2 linked regions of the Notamacropus eugenii genome follow. The protein of the gene in region 2 purifies or fractionates together with the protein of the main gene of each other region. This does not show direct contact. Links are inferred from orthologs where the notes say so. Each region holds a gene or a part of one and is shown on either strand. Other genes may lie near its edges.

What was found.
Region 1: the proteins of PPT1 (region 2) and CANX purify together in Homo sapiens (affinity purification with mass spectrometry; 3 studies listed by BioGRID and IntAct, with this or other methods). This does not show direct contact. The link is inferred for Notamacropus eugenii from reciprocal best matches to the Homo sapiens genes PPT1 and CANX.

Annotation. Positions count from the first base shown.
Region 1 is NC_092872.1:416,714,229-416,725,197, reverse strand, and holds the start of CANX (calnexin), read left to right. Parts: upstream 1-5,425; 5' UTR 5,426-5,607; intron 5,608-10,969. UniProt on the Homo sapiens protein: Calcium-binding protein that interacts with newly synthesized monoglucosylated glycoproteins in the endoplasmic reticulum. It may act in assisting protein assembly and/or in the retention within the ER of unassembled protein subunits.
Region 2 is NC_092876.1:78,948,236-78,959,276, forward strand, and holds the start of PPT1 (palmitoyl-protein thioesterase 1), read left to right. Parts: upstream 1-6,360; 5' UTR 6,361-6,418; coding exon 6,419-6,548; intron 6,549-9,032; coding exon 9,033-9,142; intron 9,143-10,098; coding exon 10,099-10,226; intron 10,227-11,041. UniProt on the Homo sapiens protein: Has thioesterase activity against fatty acid thioesters with 14 -18 carbons, including palmitoyl-CoA, S-palmitoyl-N-acetylcysteamine, and palmitoylated proteins. In contrast to PPT2, PPT1 can hydrolyze palmitoylated proteins and palmitoylcysteine.

The sequences.
Region 1 (10,969 bases), on a different chromosome or scaffold from region 2:
CCTTGAATAGTCTTATGGGTCTGGATTTATGCTTTCTTTGGCATAAGCCTCCCTCTATGAACTTGTAGATGCAAGTCTGGTGCAACTGGCAAGCATTGTAACCTGAGGACACTGAGAAATACTGAAATGGTTTGCTCAATATCATCCAGCCAGAATATGTCAGTAGAGGGACTGGTCTCTCTGAATCCCAGGTGTGCTCTCTATTATGCTACATTCCTAGAATGTCAGGGTTAGTAAGGCAGTCCACAGGTATTCTTCAAGCACTTAAAATATGCCAGGCGCTGTGCTGAAGAGAATACAAAGAAAGGTAAAAATGCTGTTTCCCTCGTAGAGAAACTGTATCTTAATACAAATTCCTTGAGAGTAGGAAGTTTCATTCTTTGTATTTTTAACTCCAGAGCCTAGCACCATGTCTGGCACATAGTAGACACTTATAAATGCTTACTGGCTGATTGATTAAAAAAATAAAAGCTCTTATTCATGTCAGACAAGTTACTTATGTGTCCAAGGGGAAAAATAAAAATGGGAACCAAGTCTCCTGGATCAATAAAACCAAACCTCTGTGTCCCTTGATTATACAGCATGACACCTTTAGTGAACTTTAACAGACATACTCCATGCTCCAAATGTATGACCTTGAAACTTAGATGTAGTTAGGGAGAATAGCAGGCTCCCCAGCTGCCTTTCTTGACCTTCTGTACCCAGCACAGTCAGACTAATGGAATAAATAACTACCAACACTGGGTATCATTCTTGGTTGTTTTTTGTTTTGGGGGGTTTTTTTGCTCATCTTGGGAAGAAGAATCTTTCCTTACCCCAAGGCTCAGTTAGGTGGGATACTGAATGAGGTAGAAAGGAATGGGAAATCAGTTTTGTTTATTGACTCCAAAACATGAAGAAGAATTCTTTCCTGAAACTGTTGGCCAAGGCCAAGACATTTATAAAGGCTCCTATGCCTGCCTGCTTTCAGCAAATATCCCATTTTTCTCCCAATATATTTTTATTTTGTTAAACATTTCCCAATTACATGTAAATAAATTTTTAACATTTATTTTTAAAATTTTTGAGTTCAAAATTCTTCCTTTCTCTCCTTCTTGAGAAGGCAAGCAATTTGATATATGTTATACATATGAAGTCAAGAAAAACACATTTCCATGTTAGTCATGTTGCAAAAAAAGAAAAAGACCAAAAAATCCAAACAAACAAAAAATCAAATTCTAAGAAAATTAAAGTAAAAAATTATGCTTCAATCTACATTCAGACTCCATCAGTTCTCTCTCTGGAGGTGAATAGCATTTTTCATCATAAGTCCTTTGTAATTATCTGGGATCATTACACTGATCTGAATAACCAAGTTATTCACAATCATGCTTTTATTATGTACAATGATCTCCTGCTCAATTTTTGGATCAGTTCATATAAGCCTTTCCATATTTTTCTGAAACTATCTTGCTCATCATTTTTTATAGTGCAATAGCATTTCATCACAATCATATACCCCGCTTTGTTCAGCTGATTCCTAGTTGATGGGCATTACTTTGATTTCCAATTCTTTGCCACCACAAAAAGAGCTGCTATAAATATTTTTGTACTGTTTGTACCGTAAAATTTAAAACTGATTTTAATTATATTTTAAAGAATCTATTTAAAGAATCCTGTAATTACTCAGAATTCAATTCTGTTCTGAATTAAATCTTCACCCTTGTATTGTCTACCTTTGTAACCTCATCCACTACTCACTTAAGTTCAGGGGTGTATGAGGTGTTTCAGGAGGACCAGCCTCAATGGTGTGAGGGCTTGCTGAGCCCTTTTCAGAGCTACTCCACCAACTTTCGTGTCCACCTTTCACCTTTTACTTAGCTATCACGTAGGGCTCCAAGAAGCTGTAGAATCCACAAAGGGCCACCCACTACCAAATTGGGCAGATGGGCCAATCCAGTTTGTGGGTAACCCAAGGGCCTCAAACCTGTGGGTGAATGATAGGGATGCCTACCCTAAGCATGTAAACTCTTCCTTGGCAAAATAGGCAGATGAGAACAATTTGTTCAGCCATGAAGGCAGCTGAAGCAGTCCCTTAAAGTGAAGAACTCAGATCTTGGTTAGACATTGAAGATTCCAAAGTAATCCACTACATCTCCACCACCGCCAGTCTTCCTGATTTTTATCTAGCCACTGGCCTATGATGACTCAGGAGGAGAGGGTGAGGTTGATGACTTTGTGCAACTCTATCTCATTTAAATCAAATTCACCCAAGATTCAAGTTATTGGTCCTCTTAAAAAGCAAAAGGAAAACAATTCAGATTCAAGTTGATTCAAGTCTGTAGGCTAACCCTTTCAAGTTAGGATTGCTTTTATCTCCCCAAAAGGAAGAAATGAGAAGGAACTGAGGTGATTCAACCCACCTCCTCTTTAGAAGATAATACACTTAGAGCACCGGAAATTTTTCTCTGTCATCTTGTCAATTGTTATAAAAGACCCTGTTAGCCCTCACTCAGGGTCTTTGGTCATTGAGAGAGGCCATTGACCCAATTTATTGGGTACTGCTTGCCTAACTACTAAATGTATCATGTTTGGGATCTTGTTTCTCAGTTTATCTTGATTTCAATCATAACAGTACATATAAGTTCTTTTCTTTTTTCTTTGATCTCTTTGGGATACAGACCTAAAAATGATATTCCTGGGCCAAAGAGTATATAGGCCTTTGGGAGTAGTTTCAAATTGCTCTCCAGAATGGTTGCATCCCTTCACAACTCTACCAACAGTTCATTAGTGTCCCAATTTTCCCACTTCGCCTCCAACATTTGTCATGCTCCCCTTCTGTCATATTAGGCAATCTGATAGGTGTGAAGTGGTACCTCAGAGTTGTATCAATTTGCATTTCTCAAATCAATAGTGATTTAGAGCATTTTTTCATGACTATGGATAGCTTTGATTTCTTCTTCTGAAGACTTCCTGTTCATACCCTTTGACCGTCTATCAAATGAGAATGACTTATATTCTTATAAATTTGATCTAGTTCTCTATATATTTGAAAAATAAGACCTTTGTCAGAGAAACTTGCTGTAAAATTTTTCTTCAATTTCCTGCTTCCCTAGGTATCCCAGTCTTAATTAAGGAGGTGAAAGGTTATTTGTATTTGGGAACCCTTCTCAAGTTTCCTTTGGCTGTACTATCTGTCCCAGATATACATGCTGATAGGCAAGTACTATAGGTTGTCCAGCCAAATTTATGTTGTAATCTGGGTAAAAGGTGCTCTTCTTCCACTTGGCCTTTCTGGTATAAATAGTCCAGTCAGACTTCTTTGACTGATTATTGGGCTGCCTATTGGAGTTCTGCCTCTAATAGATTCTGGTCATGTGACCAGACAAGTTTACGTCTCAGTGTCTTTGATAACTCTAAGACAAGCAGTTACAGAGGAGTTTCCTCAATGAAAGCATTTTTCACAGGAGAGCTCCCCAAAATGATGAAAAAAAAATCTGTTTTCTCCTTCGCACACTGAACATACACAGTTCCTTCAGCTGATCATGTCCAATTCCCTCCTCCATCCGAACTGCCAGACTTCTTGTTTCAGCTTGTTCACGGGGTTCCTAAAATACAGCATCCAGAACTGGACACGGTACCAGTGCAAGCGCTGCCAGCTCCCTCCCTCCGGACACCAGACTTCTCTTGGTGCGGGCCAAGGTTGCACTCCTTTGGCTGCTATGTCATACTGTGGATTTAGCCACATGACAGGGCTGCGCATGAGGGAAATAGCTTAGAAGAGTACACAAGTGTGCAGAGTGGGCTGGGGAGAAATTGGAGACAGAGAATTTAGAGGGCTACTGAATCAGCCAAGAAGAAGAGCCTGAAATGGGGAGGTGGCGGAAAGGGGGACTCAATGGAGACGGGGTAGGAGAGAGGGGTCAAAGGTAACACCATGGTTTTAATCCTGGCTAACAGAGGGGAAGGCTCTGCCCTTGACAGAAAATGCCAAAAGGGTCAGTTTTGGCAAAAAAGTGACAAGTTCCAATTTAGACGTGTTAAATTTGGGGTACGGTAGGGCATCCTGTAGGCATTTGGAAGTGCACCCATTTAATAAGGGTGCCCCAAGGGAAAGACAGAGAAATTGGGAAACATGCCCTTTCCAACTCCATCAAGCACAGGCCTCAGGCAACAGGGGCAGTTGTTTCCCAAAGCGGAGAAGAACGTCTGGTGAGCCAGCCCAGAGAGCGGATGGACGCAGGAGAGGAAGGGGGTGCTGGTGTCATAACACAGACCAATAAGGAAACGTATCCCGGCCTTGAATGTTTAACTTAAACTGCTATCCCGGCCGGGGCTCACAACACTGACCCTGAATGAAAGAACAAGATCCCTCTTCAAGCTCCGGGTTCAAAAAGCCCCAAAGTCACAGGAGGCTGAGGGGCCTGCGGTCGTGGGGGCGGGGAAATCAAGCCCGAAAGGCTGGAGAGATCTCCGGGGCCTGGGAAGCGTGACGTCCGGGTGTTTAGACACATTCACCCAGTCCGTTACTTCTTCGGTACTTCTACGGCCAGCAAGGCTTCACAGACAAGGCGGCACCGGCCGTTACCCACGCGGGACGGTCTGCTTAATGCGCTAACTCGGAAAACCACCCGACTGCGCGCAGATCACTGCATCGCTGTCAAGTCTTTGGCCTGCCTGGCCCGGCTGCCCATGTGTACACTGGGAATGCGAATCCCATTCATTATCTGTGCCAGCCCTTTCAAAAGGAGGCGAGCTGGGAAGCCTGGGTGCTCCTAGGCCAGTGCCTCTCCAGCCTGTCTACGGGGGGGAAAGTGGGAAGAAAGTGTCGGGTCGCAAAGCCCTCACAGGAAAGCAACGAACGAGCCGGGCTGGCTAGAGTAAAGCGGGCGGCAGGCCCGGGAGGGTGCCCAGCGGGTGTTTATCTCTAGCTCCGGGCCAGGTCGCCCCTCCCTGACCCAGGAATCTGCACGCCCCGGCTCTCTCCGCCCCGAGCCAATCATGAAGGCGGGCGCACGCGCGCGCGCGGGAAACCGAAGGGGGAGTCAAGGAAGAGAGGGGGAGAGCTAAAATCCTGGGTCATTTGCACTAGCGCCACGCGGAGACCAGGGCTACCGACCCTCTTCTAATCTCCCAATCCCAGGCTTCCACAGGAGGCGGACGGGTGGAGTCCAGTGCTACAATCCAAAGGCCGTCACCGCCCAGTCTGGTCTATTCCTGGCCCACAGTCAGTCGGGAGGGCCTTCCCTCCTTGCTCTTGCTCCCTTCCCCCACCAGCTGTCTTCCATCCAATCAGCAGGCACTTCCTGCCCTCCCTTTTAGCCAATCCGCATCCTCCACGAAGAGTAGCCCTAGGGGGCGTGTGGAAAGGTATCTGGAGCGATGGTCAAACAGACCAATGGAGTGCTAGCACGATGGGAGAGAGGCAGGGTTGAGATGCAGCATTGACCAATCAGAAACTAGGGGTGGGGCCTGGGCAGGGCGCCGCGCGCGTTGGGGTTCGCTCGGCGTCCTCCTAGTCCTGAGGCACGTGACGTTCGCTTCGGGACGATCCGCTGCAGCATCCGAGGTGCTGGGCGTGGGGCGAGGGGGTGGGAAGTGGCGCCGGCGCCGGCCGCGAAGCACGAGGTGAGACGGACGCAGCTGCCCTAGTCCTGGGGACTTGGGCGGCCGGGGTCTGGGAGGTCGGTTCACGTCCGGGGCGGAGGAGGGCTGGCCTAGGCTGGCCAGGCTTGAGTGGTGGGGGAAGAGGCCTGAGGCCCTGGGGACCAGAGGACTGGTGGGAGTGACGCGGTCTGGGGCTGGGGACCGGGACTGCCCAGCGGAAAAGCAGGATGGAGCCCGGAGCCGGGCCCGTGCGAAGATTTGTGGGAGTGGAGAGGCCTGCGGAGGGAGGCCGGACGGGAGGTCAGCGGGGCCGGAGCCCGGAGGGGGGCGTGACCTCCGGGCCGGGCTCGCCGCAGCGGGCGGCGGCCCAGGCGCCTCGGAGGCCCGCGTGCCCCTTGTCTGTTCGCTCATCCCCAGGCGGGCGATGTGCGGCCTGGCCCAGCCCGAGTGGGAAGGCCTCTGGGGAGAGACAGGCCTGGGGCGGCGCGGGGGAGAGAGAAGCCATCTTCCTGCGTTTAGGCAAGAGCCCGGGAACGTACCGGACGAAGAAGGCAGACCCTCCCGGCCACGAGGTGGCTGAGATGTTGAGAAACCAACGATCTCGAAACGGGGGCAGGGTGGGAAAGGGGACCTCGCTCAGGGGGTAGGTAACTTGTTGGGAAAGAAACTGCTGGAAGACAGGTCGAAAAACTTGTTCCTAAGTGTTAGGAACGTGGACGTCTGTCTATATATAGTTCTTCATTTGTCTTTAGAGAGTCATAAGTATTCCAAAGAGTTTTGGGAATCTTATCTCTGGAAAGATAACCTTTCCAGGGCCGATCTCCTTGTTTTAGTGGCCCAGAGAAGGGAAGCAACTTGCCCAAGGTCACACAGCCAGGTGATTGGCAAAGCTGTATGGAACCTCATTCTTCTAGTACTTTCTTTGGTGGTCTTAAGCCCATACCATTTTCTAGGTCCCTTAAGCTCTGATACAGTACTAGAAGTAATATTTTCTCTGTTTCAGGCATTATATTCTCACTTTTAAATTCTGTCTTCCACGTGGGTGCTCCCCATGAGACTTTTCTGTCCTTCGACAAGCACTCTCTTGGCTATACCACTATCCAAGTTTCTAACCCTGTGCAGATAATTCCTCAATTTATAGTTCCAGACACATCTCCAAATGCCTAAGGAATATCTTCATTGGACATCCTACAGAGACCTAGACCTCAACATGTCCAAAAGCACATTAATTATATTTTTATCAAAACAGATTCCTGAGTACTGGTTTGTATCACCACTCTCTACCTAGTTTGCCCTGAGGGCAGCGGTCCTTTTGCACTGGCAGGTGTTTAACAAATGTTCGCTGAATTGATTAAAATTTTTGGAGTCAATCAGTGTGACTAGATCTTCTGGAATCCATCCATTCTTGAACTCTTAACCAGCCCTTTTCAATCTTTCATTCCAATGCCAAAATAACCTTTGAAAATGGATCTGGTCATGCCACACTTACAAACAAAAGATCTTTTTAAGTGGCTCTCTCCTGCCTACTGAGTAAACTTCAACAACTATTCCTGGTATCCAAGGCTCCAAGCCTGGAATCACCCCATCTACCTTTCCAAACATTATTCTTTAACATGTTCTGATCCAGCCAAACTGGACAACCTTGTGTTCCTGAGCGCAAATAGCACACTCAACTTTATGCCTTTGTTGAAGTTGACCCTCTTTTTCCCTAGTCATCTTGTGAAATCCTACCCAGCTTTTAAATCCCAATTTAAATGTTAACTTCATCCCAAATGCCTTCTTTGATAATAATCACATTCTCCTCAGACCTCACTGGCATTTTGCTTTCTAATTCTTCAAGGTTCTTATATGGTATTGTGTTGCAAATTCATATTGATGTTGTATTTCTCTAGATTTTTAGAGGATAGGCAGTATACCTTCTATATGTTTTATAACATCACATAACCATTGCTCTGTATTGGTAGGTGCTTAATAAATGTTTGGGGATGGGAACAAGCATTTATTGAGCACCTGCTATGTGTCAGGCACTGCACTAAACATTTTACACATATCTAGTTGAGATGTTGGGGAGAAGGCAGGGAAATTTAGCTGTTTACCATAAGCAAAGGCATTTATGCTGATGAAGAAAAATAAACTTGGAGTTGGTGGTAAATCTCACCATTGCCACTAAGGGACAATTTGGAAGGCAGTACTGACATGTGTCTACAATATGGGAGAGGAAAGAAATATGCTGGAAGGGAAACTCCAAATTACTTTTAATTTTGAATTAGATTTTTGTGTGGTTTTGAATATTGCTTTGGAATCGAGCTTTGTTGAATATTTTTTTAATGGGGTACTATTGTGATGATCTGTTACCAAATATAAAGTGGATCTTTCTTGAGCCATGGAGGCAGCTTTTCTTTTGATTCTTTCGCTCTAGTCCGGGCTTAAGAGTAATTGTCAATTTCATGGTAATTCTCACTTTGTGCAACCTAATGTAGTAGGTGAATGAATTATAAAGAAGCTTTGGTTAAAAAAAAAAAATCTTAAAACTGAAATTAAAGTGACATGTATTGGCACTACAGGTATATGTAGTAAGTTAAATTTGAGACTAGACAGGACTTTTTTCTGTTAAGATATTGGGGGATCTGAGTATTCTTTTCTGATTTTACTAATACACAAGTTGTATCTATTGTAAGTGCCTTTATCACAGTAAACGCAGATCCTTGGTATCAATATGGAGAGCAGACTTTTGTTTTTGATAACTAGCATTAAACTGCTGAATGATAATCTTACAAAGCCCACTGAGTTAAGTGGTTCTAGAAGAAAAATCCTTGCTGCTACTTTGTTACATAATATTAGGCTGTGCATTTGCCCCCCAAATGAGGCAATTTTGGTTGGTAAAGTGATAGCTAACACTAGGGCTGGGTAATGAATGGTGTTTATATGTAGCAGATTTCAGATTTAATCTGGGCCTCAGTGTCTTCTGTAGTTTGGAGAGATAACATGGAATTCAAACCAGATGATCGCTCCAAAAATATTTTGAAAAGCTTAAAATACTACTCAAATGTAAACTAAAATAAATCACTGTAAGATGTGTCAATACTCAGAAAAGAATAAAAACGCATAAACTATGTATGTGATCCAGTACATTGTATTGAAAACTAAATGTTAATAATAAGATGAAATAATACAATGTTTAGAATGACAATTCAGATAATTCTTTAGGTAAGTTTAAGTTTTACACTTTTAAAGAGTTTGCTTTTTAAAGAAATCAGAGACTCGAATATTTAGCATTACTATTTTATAAATGCAGTTGTAAAGAATAAACAACTGGGTCTTCTGTTATTGACAGAGGCCAAAAAAAGGGAAATAAAGAGGTAGTGGAAGTTATTCTTGCAATTGATGGGTGGTAGGAAAGACTAGGGAGAATCTGAGAAGTGCACATGGATTCAGCCTTCTTGATTTCCAGTGGAGTGAACAGAGGCCCAGAGGTAGGGGCATGACTTGCCAGGGTGTCCAAGCTAAGTGGCTAGATTCAAGCCTGCATCTTTTGATTGTCTTTTATGAATCATTTTTCCTCCTTTATTTTTAAAATAAAATTTTATTGATAGTTTCATGAGTATTTTTTACATCACCAGAATTTCACCAGTGTCCTCTAGCAAGTCATTCCATATAACTGTTTGGGGTGGGGGGAGTGTTGGTAAACACATCAAAAGAATCTGAAGTGCCATACCTTTGGACCTCTTCCCTTTACAAAGATTTGGGATTATCTTTACTTTGAAACTCGTTCTTTATAATTTGACAGCATTACTTTTGGGGGGAGGTTTGTTTTTTGGGTTCTTTCCATTTATATTTTTGTCACTGTTTTCTTGTGTTCACTCTGCATCACTTAATGTAAATCTTTCCATGTTTCTGCACCATCATAGTCATCATTTCTTACAACAGAGTAATATTCCATTGCATTCACATTAGCCATTCCCTAGTTGATGGTCATCTACTTTGTTAACAACTTTTTGCTTTCACAAAAAATGCTACTATAACCATTTTGGAGTATATGGAATACTACTTACCTCTTGGGTTTTGTTTTTGTTTTTTTGTTTCGTTAAGTGTTCACTTTTTTTTTTAGCCCTGAAGAAAGATTATGTTAAACTTTGGGAAATATTTTCACTTTGGGTCCAATTCTTTACTTATAATTACACAGAAAGGTATGTTTACTATTAACCTATTTATCCTTTCAACAGTGACCAAAAAATGATATGGACTAACAACCTTAGAAATTTTTGTTTTTATACTTTTAGGTCCTATGAGGAAGTTTTGGCATAGTGGAAAAAGGACCAGACTTGGAGATAGAAAACTGAGTTTCTAGAGCTAGCTAGCTATTTTCACTGTAACTTTGAGAACAGGTCATTTTCATTATCTAGGGGTCTCAGTTTCTTCATTTCTGAAATGAGTGAGTTAGACTTCTAGTTATAATATTTCATTCTCCTGTGTTATCTTGAGAATTATTTGAGGACCAAAATTAAATGTAAAAGCTGCTGAAGAACACTTCCTTTTTGGTGAAAACCAAATCTTTATAAATTAAGGAAACTACCATTTGATAATTTTATTGACAATTACTGACATTTGTGCAATATTTCATAATTTGCAATGTACTTATATATTATATTATGTGAACTTAACAAAAGTCCTTTGAGATAGGTAATATTATCCTCATTTTGTAGAGGAGGAAATTGAGGTTCAGAGTTAAGTGAACTAGCCTGTGATCACAGGGCTTAGTAGTTGTCAGGCAGATAAGTTTCTACCTGAACAGAAGAGGCAGGTACTGAACTCTCATGCAAACAGTTGACTAGCAGTGAAATATAGTTATCACTCCTGCAAATAGATGTCAGTTACTTTAGACTTTAAGCTTCCAGAAAACAGTGATCCTTTTCTGATTGAAAACCTAATTATATTTGATTGGTCAGTGATGGAAAAAAAAAATCTTGTTTCTAGAAAGGACCTTGTAATCTAATCTAGCTCAGATTTCTCATTGTTTAAAGTAGTGGTGTCAAGCTCAAATTCAAAGATTTCTTCAGGCCACAAATTGACTTAGGAAAAAACCTTACATTAACATTATCTATATTCTATTGTATTTTTGTTAACTATTTCTCAGATACATTTTGATCTGGTTCCAAGTATACTCTAAACTGTTAAGGGCCTTATGGTTTAGAGGACCAAGATTTTTAAAAAATCAGTGTGTTGGTAGCTTAACATTAGGTCATATTAGGTAGCTTCATTAGGTTACTAAGTCACTAAAGCCAGAGTGCCTGTTTTGGAATATATGGGGGGGAGGTACTTTTTAGTAGCATTAATTGTATTAGGATTTGTGAGGGCTTGCCTTTTTTTCCCCTAGAGAGAAGAG
Region 2 (11,041 bases):
ACTACCTAACAGCTGTTAGAGCCCTTTCTACCCCTTCTCACCCCTACGTCTTTCTGCACTTTTTCTTTGGAAGTAGCTCTCAAAAGGTAGAGGGTTATTTTGTACTTTTATCTGGTTCATGACCTGGTGATTAGCCTTTCCAGACTTAGCTAGACTGACACTTGAAGAGTAAACAGTGTCTATTATTGAGTTCATACTTGAAGGTAGCAGTCAGATGGTGCCACAGTACACAGAGTATTAGACCTGGAGTCAGGAAGATCTGAGTTCAAATTCTCCCCCAGACCCTAATTAGCTATATGACACTGGGCTAGTCACTTAATCTTTGTCTGCTTTTGTTTCCTCATCTGAAAAAAAATAATAGCTGACAATTATATAGTGCTCGGCACTGTTGTAAGCATTTTATGATTATTATCTCATTTGATCTTCACAACAACCCTGGGAGGTAGGTATTTCCATTTTACAGATGAGGAAACTGAGGCAAACAGAGGTTAAGAGGTTTGCCCAGGGTCTGAGAATAATAATAACACCTTCCTCACCAGGTTGCTGTGAGGATCAAATGAGATAATATTTATAAAATGATTTGCAAACCTAAAAGCAGAATATAAATAGTAGCAGCAGAAGTAATGATAGTAGTAGTAGTAGTGATAGTAGTAGTAGTAGTAATATAGTGATAGCAATAGTAATAGTAGTAGTAGCAGTGATAGTAATAGTTGTAGTATAGTGTTGGCAATAGTAGTTGTAGTAGTAATGATAGTAATAGTAGTAGTAGTATGGGGGTAGTAGTAGTGATAGCAACAGTAGTAGTAGTGATAGTAGTAGTAGTAGTGGTAGTGATAGCAATAGTAGTAGTGATAGTAGTAGGTAGTAGTGATAGCAATAATAGTAGTAGTAGTAGTGATAGCAATAGTAGCACTAGAAGCAGCAGCAGCAGAAGTAGTAGCAATTATTATTATTATTGTTACAACTACCTCTACGATCCTCTCAGCTTGGCAGGAACTGCCTGAGCTTGTGCTCAGCTAAGAAAACCCACCTCTATAACACAACTTGGCTTCAGAGTATGACTTCTGTGGAGCTGCACAAAGTAGAGAATCAAACATTTGAATGAAAACTATGAAGAAAAAACTGACAGGAACTTATGATTGATTGGAATGTGTAGACCAAGGAAAACTGGGGAATCAGTCAATCAACAAGCAATGTGCCAGGCACTGAGCACATTTAGTAAGAACTTTGGATACAAAGAAATGCAACAAACAGTCCTTGCTCTCAAGGAGCTCACAATCTAGTGGGAAGACAACATGCAAACAACTATATACTAATAAGATATAGACAGGATCAATTGTAGTTAATCAATACAGGGAAGGCAGTTTGCCTCAATTCCTCATCTGTAAAATGAACTGGAGAAGGACATGGCAAATCTCTCCAGTATCTTTCCCAAGAAAACCTCAACTGGGGTCACAAAGAGTCGGATACAACTGAAAAATGACCAAACTAATTTGCACTAAGGGTGAATCAAAGAGAAGATTCTTGTAGGAGATGGAATTTTAGCTGGGACTTGAAGGAAGTCAAGTAATTTGGGAGGCACAGAGGAGGAGAGAGAGCATTCCATGCATAGGAAACAGGCAGTGAAAATGCCCAGAGGAAGAGCAAGGAGGCCAGCGTCACTTGATCACAGGGTGTAAGAAGACTGAACAGGTAGGAGGGGGCCAGGAAAAGATAACTTACAAGTTTTCAAGCATTAATAACCACAAAAATAAAGGTCCCTCAAACAGAAAAAGGGGAGTAAGAAAGGGAAACCAGTGTATGGGGAAAAGATAATGTGCTCAGTTTGGAATGTGCTGAGCTTGAGGAAAAGGCAGAACTGATTTCCATTAGGCATTTAATCCACTGGGCTATACATTTGTAATGGTGACCGATCAATGAGTACTGGCACGATGAGCATGTGAGGAGCATGCTGAAGACATGGTGTGAAAGGTCCAACTGTCTGCTTCAGAGTATGTGCACAAGGTCGTATGACCCTTTTCGACCCACTCTGAATGCCTTTTAGTTGGCTACTGAATCAGAATGGGGCATGTATATAAAAGATTCCCAGCTCTAGGCCCCTTTCTGGGCTTGGATTGAAATCAGATATGCCGTAGACCTCTGGGTTCTGGAAGAGGTCTTAAGCTTTTCCTAACCCAGACAGTATGTGGCCTCTGACGGCTGAGTGTCTCTGCATTTTACTTCTTGGCATGTGTTTTCTTTTACTCTTAAATGGAGTTTTGGAGATGCTTCAAAAGTAGTAGGAGCCAAAGTCCAGTCCCAAGAGTTCATGCTAAATTTGTGAGCTGCCTCAAAAGGAGTAACTGGATCTTAGCTCAGCAGGAGATTAATCCCATAGCCAAGGCTCTGGATTGCTCATTCAGAAATGAATTTGGTGGGGAGATGAAAAACTTGTAAAAGCTTTTGGTTTGAGCTCATTCTCCCTAGGAATTGAGGTGGTATAGGTGAGAATATGTCCACAGGATTAAGAGAATGGTTGGTACTTGTATTCTTGCTTTATTTGAGCAGTATGTATCCCTTTGTAAAAGCTAATTGATATTAATTGGTTAAAGGAAACTGGGCTGCTAATCACCAGTGACCCATATTGGGGAGAATACACCCAAATGAAGACTTGGGCCAATAGCATTGAGAAGTATCCCCTAACTCCTCAGAGGTATCCCTAGAATCCTGAGGGGAAGATGTAGTCTTGCTTTGGGGCAGTCAATTCTTCAGCATAAGTGAAAGTCAGGATGAGGACTCTCAGTTTAAATGGGTCACATGCATATTCTTCAGGTACACAGCTAGGACTAGACATGGGATGGAGCTTTTGGTGTTACAGGTGGATGATAAAGGCCTGGAAAGTGATTCTATTTTCTGAGGAAGTGAACATTAAAAAGCATAAGAGGTCTGAGGTCTAAATCTGAGGTAATGCTCATATTTAGGGTCACATGGGAGAGAGAAGGGAATAAAGGACAAGCAACTGGATGGGAAGAGACACAATATATTGACTTCTTTAGGAAATCTTTCTTGAATATTCCAGTTGTTCTATCTCTCCCTCTTCTGAACTCCTATATCATACCTGATTATCCCAAACAGCTGCATGAGGACAGAGGCTTTTTCTTATTTAAACATTTTTTTCTTATTTTTGATCTTATTAAAAAAAAAAAAATCCTCCCAGCCCCAGCACAGGGCTCTCTTAACACACATTAGGAGTTAAATAAGTGTTTGTTGAATTAAAACTGATAGGGATAGGGACTAGATTTATGATTTCACTGGTGTGCAGAGCTCCCATTTCCCATTGAGTAATAAAATGAAACCATTCATTAATTAGCACAGGGTTTTACACAAAACTGGAGTTAAATATTTGTGGAATTGAATGAAGTAATTTTTTTTTTTTTGGTGAGGCAATTAGGTTTAAGTAACTTGCCCAGGGCCAAACAGCTAGTAAATGTCAAATATCTGAGTTTGAATTAGAACTCAGGTCCTCCTGACTCTGTGATGTGTTCTGGCCACTCATCTGCTTTAAAAAATAGAAAACTGGGAAAGCTAGGTGGTACAGTGGATAGAACACCTGCCCTGGAGTTAAGAGGACCCGAGCCAGACAACTAGTAGCTGTGGGACCATAGATAAGTCATGTAATCTGATTGCCTAAAAACAAAATTGCCACTTACAGGAGAGTTTCAAAGAGATTCAGGGTGGTATTGGATGCAGAGATACATTTGGATACAGAGATTCAGGCTGGTATTGAGAGATTCATGGTGGTATTGGATACAGAGATTCAGAGTGCTATTGAGAAATTCATGGTGGTATTGGATACAAAGATTCAGGGTAGTATTGGACACAGATTCAGGGTGGCATTGGATACAGAGACTCAGGGTGGTACTGGATACAGAGGTTCAGGGTGGTATTGGACACAGATTCATGGTGGTATTGGACACAGATTCAGGGTGGTATTGGATACAAAGATTCAGGATGGTATTGAGAGATTTTGGGTGGTATTGGAAACAAAGATTCAGGGTAGTATTGGATACAGATTCAAGGTGGTATTGGACACAGATTCAGGGTGGCATTGATACAGAGACTCAGGGTGGTACTGGATACAGAGACTCAGCGTGGTATTGGACACAGATTCAGGGTGGTATTGGACACAGATTCAGGGTGGCATTGGACACAGCCTCAGGGTGGCATTAGATACAGAGACTCAGTGTGGTATTGGACACAGATTCAGGGTGGCATTGGACACAGACTCAGGATGGTACTGGATACAGAGATTCAGGGTGGTATTGAGAGATTTTGGGTGGTATTGGATACAAAGATTCAGGGTAGTATTGGATACAGACAGATTCAAGGTGGTATTGGACACAGCCTCAGGGTGGCATTAGATACAGACTCAGCATGGTATTGGACACAGATTCAGGGTGGTATTGGATACAGATATTCAGGGTGGTATTGGATAAAGAGACTCAGGGTGGCATTAGATACAGAGACTCAGAGTGGTATTGGACACAGATTCAGGGTGGCATTGGACACAGAGATTCAGGGTGGTATTGGACATAGAGATTCAGGGTGGCATTGGACACAGACTCAGGGTGGTACTGGATACACAGATTCAGGGTGGCACTGGACACAGACTCAGGGTGGCATTAGATACAGAGACTCAGGGTGGTATTGGACACAGATTCAGGGTGGCATTGGACACAGATTCAGGGTGGCATTGGACACAGACTCAGGGTGGTACTGGATACACAGACTCAGGGTGGCATTGGACACAGACTCAGGGTGGTACTGGATATACAGATTCAGGGTGGCATTGAACACAGACTCAGGGTGGCATTAGATACAGAGACTCAGGGTGGTATTGGACACAGATTCAGGGTGGCATTGGACACAGATTCAGGGTGGCATTGGACACAGACTCAGGGTGGTACTGGATACACAGATTCAGGGTGGCATTGGACACAGACTCAGGGTGGTACTGGATACACAGACTCAGGGTGGTACTGGATACAAAGATTTAGGGTGGCATTGGACACAGATTCAGGGTGGCATTGGACACAGACTCAGGGTGGTACTGGATACACAGACTCAGGGTGGTATTGGATACAAAGATTCAGGGTGGCATTGGACACAGACTCAGGGTGGTACTGGATACACAGACTCAGGGTGGTACTGGATACACAGATTCAGGGTGGCATTGGACACAGATTCAGGGTGGTATTGGACACAGACTCAGGGTGGTACTGGATACAAAGATTCAGGGTGGCATTGGACACAGACTCAGGGTGGTACTGGATACACAGATTCAGGGTGGCATTGGACACAGATTCAGGGTGGCATTGGACACAGACTCAGGGTGGTACTGGATACACAGACTCAGGGTGGTACTGGATACAAAGATTTAGGGTGGCATTGGACACAGATTCAGGGTGGCATTGGACACAGACTCAGGGTGGTACTGGATACACAGACTCAGGGTGGTATTGGATACAAAGATTCAGGGTGGCATTGGACACAGATTCAGGGTGGTACTGGATACACAGACTCAGGGTGGTATTGGATACAAAGATTCAGGGTGGCATTGGACACAGACTCAGGGTGGTACTGGATACACAGACTCAGGGTGGTACTGGATACACAGATTCAGGGTGGCATTGGACACAGATTCAGGGTGGCATTGGACACAGACTCAGGGTGGTACTGGATACACAGATTCAGGGTGGCATTGGACACAGACTCAGGGTGGTACTGGATACACAGACTCAGGGTGGTACTGGATACACAGACTCAGGGTGGTATTGGATACAAAGATTCAGGGTAGCTCAGTAGCGAAGGGTGGGAGAGCGCTAAAGTGAGGGAAGGCATCGAAGCCGGACCGAGGCGGCTGCGTGCGGTCCGGACAAATCAGTCACCCTGGGCTCAGTGTCCGGGGCTCACACGGTTACGCACGTGCGGCGCTCTCGGTTCCAGGGCTTTCTCCACGGCCGCGCCCCCAGCAAGGGCAGGGGGCTGTACCTGACACTGGCCTTTGAAGAATTCCAAATCCCGCGCTCTTTCTACCACCCACCGACTGGGGCAGAGAAAGACCGGCCAGGGCAGGCGCACGCGCAGTCGCACCGGCCCCCCGGCCCGGCCGGGCTTTGAACCTCCTCGTGCTTCCTGGGGGCTCACTGGCAACCGCAGCCGCCCGCCCCCGAAACCCGCCGGGACCGCTGAAGGGAGGAAGAAGGGGAAGGAAGAGCGCAGAGAGGAGAGCGAGAGGCGGGACGCAGCAGCGGGGAGGGGCAGGAGCGGAAGGAGCGAGAGACACTTTCTACTCTGTGATTGGGTGATCGGAGGCACGAGGGGCGGGGCTTCAGCGACCGCAGGCTCCTTAAGGGCGCGGTCATGTGATTGGGCCAAGATGGCTTTCCCCACGCTGTTCCTGCTGCTGCTGAGCGCGGCCCTCATCCGACGGCCCCCGCCAGCCTCAGCCTCCCCGCGGACCGAGCCTCCTCAGGAGCCGCTGCCGCTGGTCATCTGGCACGGGATGGGTGAGCCGGGCCGGGCCGGGCGGGGAACGCCAGTCGCGGGGGTGCTAAAAGGTTGTGCCGGCTCTCTTCCTTTGTGGAGGAAACGGGCACCCGGGCGAAGGCCCCCGGCCGGGAGTCAGGCATCCCGGGTGCCTGAACTGGCTCTGCCCCGGCCAGGCACTGCCCCTCTGGGGACCCCAACCCCTCCCGCCTCGGCAGCTCCGTAAGATTTCCTGGGCGCCTACCTGTCAGCAGCCTGGTCTTTGCCAGCCAGAGGCAGCTGCGCAAAGCGGGTGGAGTGATGGGACGTGGGTTCGAATCTAGCCTCTGACACTTTGGGCACTTGGCCGGTGTGCCCCTAGGCACACACGGGTGATCTTGGACTTAGACGTTGGTGGTGGTGGAAGGTGTCCAGCTCCCCACTCTGATCCGCAGACGATCGCAGAGGCTGAAATCTCAGAGCTGGGAAGGAGCATGGGGTCAAAGGTTTAGAACGGGTGGGGATCTTAGGGGCTGTCTGGTCCCACAGAATTCAGACTGGCTTCCTGATTCTAAGTCCAGGGTTCTCTGCAGCCTGCCAGGGGTCACTTAGTCCAGCATGTACCTTCAAGAGAATGGGCTCTGTAACGCCTGATCCTAAGACAAGCATTTCTTCTATAACACCTGTTGACCTTGGAGTCCTTTGTAGCCCCGATATACTGGGATCATAGAGTTAGAGGTCAGGAGCCAGAAGGGTCATGCAGTCCAACCCCTTCATTTTGCAGATGAAGAAACTGAGTCCCCGAAAGGTTAAGAGAGTTAACTAACAGAATGTTAGCTCTTTGAAGAAGGAAATGTATCTTTTCTTTATTTCTCAGTTTCATCACTTTGCATGGTGCTGGGCACATAGTTGGTGTTTAATAAATGTCTCTTGATTGGTTGATTAATGTACTATGCAGATTGCAAAGCTGAAATTTGAAAACCAGGTTTGGTGATTTCACATCCACAGTTCTATCTCCATACTTGTCCTTTCTGGGTTGACAGTCATTTTGGGGGGATGGAAAGGGGAAGTGAGAGCTGCCAATATACCTATAAATCTGTCAGAATTATGGATGTGAAAGAACTTTCCAGTCTCTAAATTGCTGTGCAAACATGAACTGGGATAGAATTATAATTTTATTGCTATATATCACAATTCTTCTAGATCTTTGGATGGGAAAAAATCCATTCCCTAGGGCTAATTTTCTGGTTAGGATCCTCTCTGGGGTTAACTAGGACAGAGTTCCCACCTAAAGTCTTTGCAGTTTTTCAGGACTACCAGAGAAGTCAGGGCCACTTCTGTACTGTAAGGAGAATATCAGTGGAGGAAGAGATGATTATCATTATTACCACCCCAGAAGCTCTAGATAGGAAAAGAATGTGCAGCTTAAGTGTCACATCTAACATGAAGCCTTTCCTGGTCTCAGTTCTAGGTGAATTTTCCTTTTCCCATCTCTCTTCCTTTTCTGACCTTTATACTCATCACATTCTAACTTATGGCTATTGATAAATGCCATATTTTCCTGCTAATTTGTAAGTCCATAGAACTTAGAGCTAGAAACAGCCTTAAAGCAGATGTTGGAAAGGACCATAGAAATCATTTAACCCAACAGACTCAGTTGTTAATGATATTAATAATAGTTACATTCATGTATCATGTTATGGTTTGCAAAATATAAGTACTTTGAATACTAAGTATAAAATACTAAGGTATGTCATCTTCATAATCAATTTATTAGTTTGTCTGTTTCTTCATTCTAGAGATGAGGAAACAGACTCAGAGCTTCTGTGATTTGCCCGAGCTAAAACAGGTGGTCGTAAGCAGAGCCGAGACGTGAATCAACATTCTCTACCTCCGAATGTCATTCTTGTTCCACTGCATCTCACTGAGGACAAGGACTAATGACATTTTTCATCCATAGTGCCTTGCACATAATTGTAATGATAAAATAATGTTTACATAGGGCTGTGAAGTCTACAAAGTTCTTTCTTCCAGTTATCTTGTGAAATAGGTGGTATAGTGCCACTAGGTAATGAGGAATAGTGGCTAGAGTGCTGGACATGGAGTCAGGAAGACTTGGTTTCAAATCCTGCCACAGATAATTGCTAACTATGTGACCCTGCTCCGTGCCTCAGTTTTCTGATCTGTAAAAAACAAGGGTAAGACTTGATGGCTTCCAAGGTCCCTTCTGTAATTTTATGACAATCCTTGTGAAGCAAGTCAATATTATACCCATTTTACAGATGAACCAACAGGCCTGCAGGAGAGAGGTGACTTGCTCCAAATTATAGGTAGAAAGTGGCAGGGCTGGGACTTGAACCCACATCTCCCTATCCCAAGGCTATTGTTCTGTCTGTTGTATATCTATAATGATTGTGTGGCTACATCATTGTTTCCCTGTTAAAGTGTTGTGGCTTCTGAAGCTCACAGATGATTCTATTTGTAACACCTAAAACTTCCCTTGTTTTCTTTCTTCTCCTGTCTAGGAGACAGCTGCTGTAACCCCCTGAGCATGGGGGCCATTAAAAAAATGGTTGAGCACAAAATACCAGGAATTTATGTTTTGTCTTTGGAGATTGGGAAGACTCTGATTGAGGTAATACATCCACAAAGCTAAGTCACTGAGGGACTTCTGTTAGACCAAGGAGCTCATGATAAATGTTCAGTTGAAAAGTGATTCATGTGGTTTCATTTTTTCTTATAGCACTCTTCCTGAGAAGATAATTTTATTGGGTCTTTCAATGGAACTTTCACTCTTAGTGACCTGAAGGAGGGACTCCTGGGTGTCTGCCAGGCTTTTGGAAGTATCTCTGTTCTCTTAATGTAGAAGGAAAGTGGTATTTATCTAGAATAAGAGAATCCCAGCCTGGCAGAGGCCATCTCTTGTCTACACTCCCCTCCCCCTTACTTTATAGATGAAGAAACTAAGCTTAAAGGGACCCAGGGACGTGTCTAAAGTCATATAACTAGTTAATAGCAAAGCATAACTTCAAAACTGAGGCTTAGAGAGGCTTTTAATAGTGCTATGACTGTGGAAACTTGGTTTTCATAAGCTCTTCCCTTTCCTCCTCCTCCCCCTTCCCTTTTCCTCCTCCTTCCTCTTCTGCTCTCCCTCCCCTCTCCTCTCTTACATCCCCTCCTCCTCCTTTCCTCTCCTCCCTTCTTCCTTTCTTCTTCTCTTCCTCTTCCTCTTTCTTTTTTTCTCCCTTCTCTCCTTTTCTTCCCTTCTATTTCCTCCTCTTCTCTTCTTTTCTCTGCTTTTTCCCTTCACCCTTTCCTTCCTACTTACCTACCCCTCTCCTCTTCTCTCCTATCCTCTCTTGTCTGTTTTTTCCTCTCCCCTCCCCTCCCCTCCCTTCTCTTCCTCTTCCTTGCCTCCCTTTTCCCCCCTCCCTTGTCTCTACCCCTTCCCTTCTTTCCTCCCCTCTCTTCTGTCCCTTTCTCTTCTTTTCTCTCCTCTCCCTCCTCTTCTATCCCCTTCCTTTCATTCCTCTCTCCTCTTCCCCTACCCCTTTCCTTTTTCCTTCCCTTCTCTTCCCCTCTCTTCTTCAGGATATGGAGAACAGCTTCTTCTTAAACGTGAATCACCAGGTGACTCTAGTGTGTGAGATGCTGGCCAAGAACCCCAAGCTGCAGCAAGGCTACAACGCCATGGGATTCTCCCAAGGTGGCCAGTTCCTGTAAGTCCCTTTCTCTCACCTCATGGGTAAAGGACTTTTTGGTATTTTTACAAAAATGGTAGCCTGTGTTCATTGTGACCAGGAATTGCAGGGTCCTTTACACGTGTGTTCTCATTTGAGCCTCACAGCAACCCAATGGCCCAGATACTACAGGTATAATTAGGCCCATTGTACAGATGAGGAAACCAAGGCTCCACAAGGTTAAGTGTCTTGCCCAGGGTCTCATAGCTGGTAAGTGTCTGAGGCGGGGTTCAGACTTAGGACTTCAGAGCTGTCTGTGCTGTATGTCACTGCGCCTCTAGTATCTGTTTTTATGTATTTATTTATTTGTTTTTATTTTTTATTTTTAATGTTCTACAATCACTACCATAAACCTTAGATTTTTTCCCCCTACCTGCCCCCCCCACCCTCCTCTCTCCCCAAGACAGCATATAATTCTATATAGGATCTACACATACATTCCTATTGAATACATCTTCACCATAGTCATGCTGTGTAGACGAACTAAAATAAATGGGAGAAATCATATAACAAACCAAAACATAACACACACACACACACACACACACACACACACACACACACACACACACACACACACACACACACATGATCTGCTACATTCTGCGATTGAATTCCATAGTTCTTTCTCTGATTGTGGAAGACAGTTTGCCTTAGAAGATGATTGGGAATTTTTTTTTTATGTCCTTGCATTGCTATGAAGATCCAAGTTTACCAGAAAAACTCTCACACGCTGTGGTCATTGCTGTGCACAAAGTTCTCCTAGTTCTGCTCCTTTCACTTAGTGTCAGATC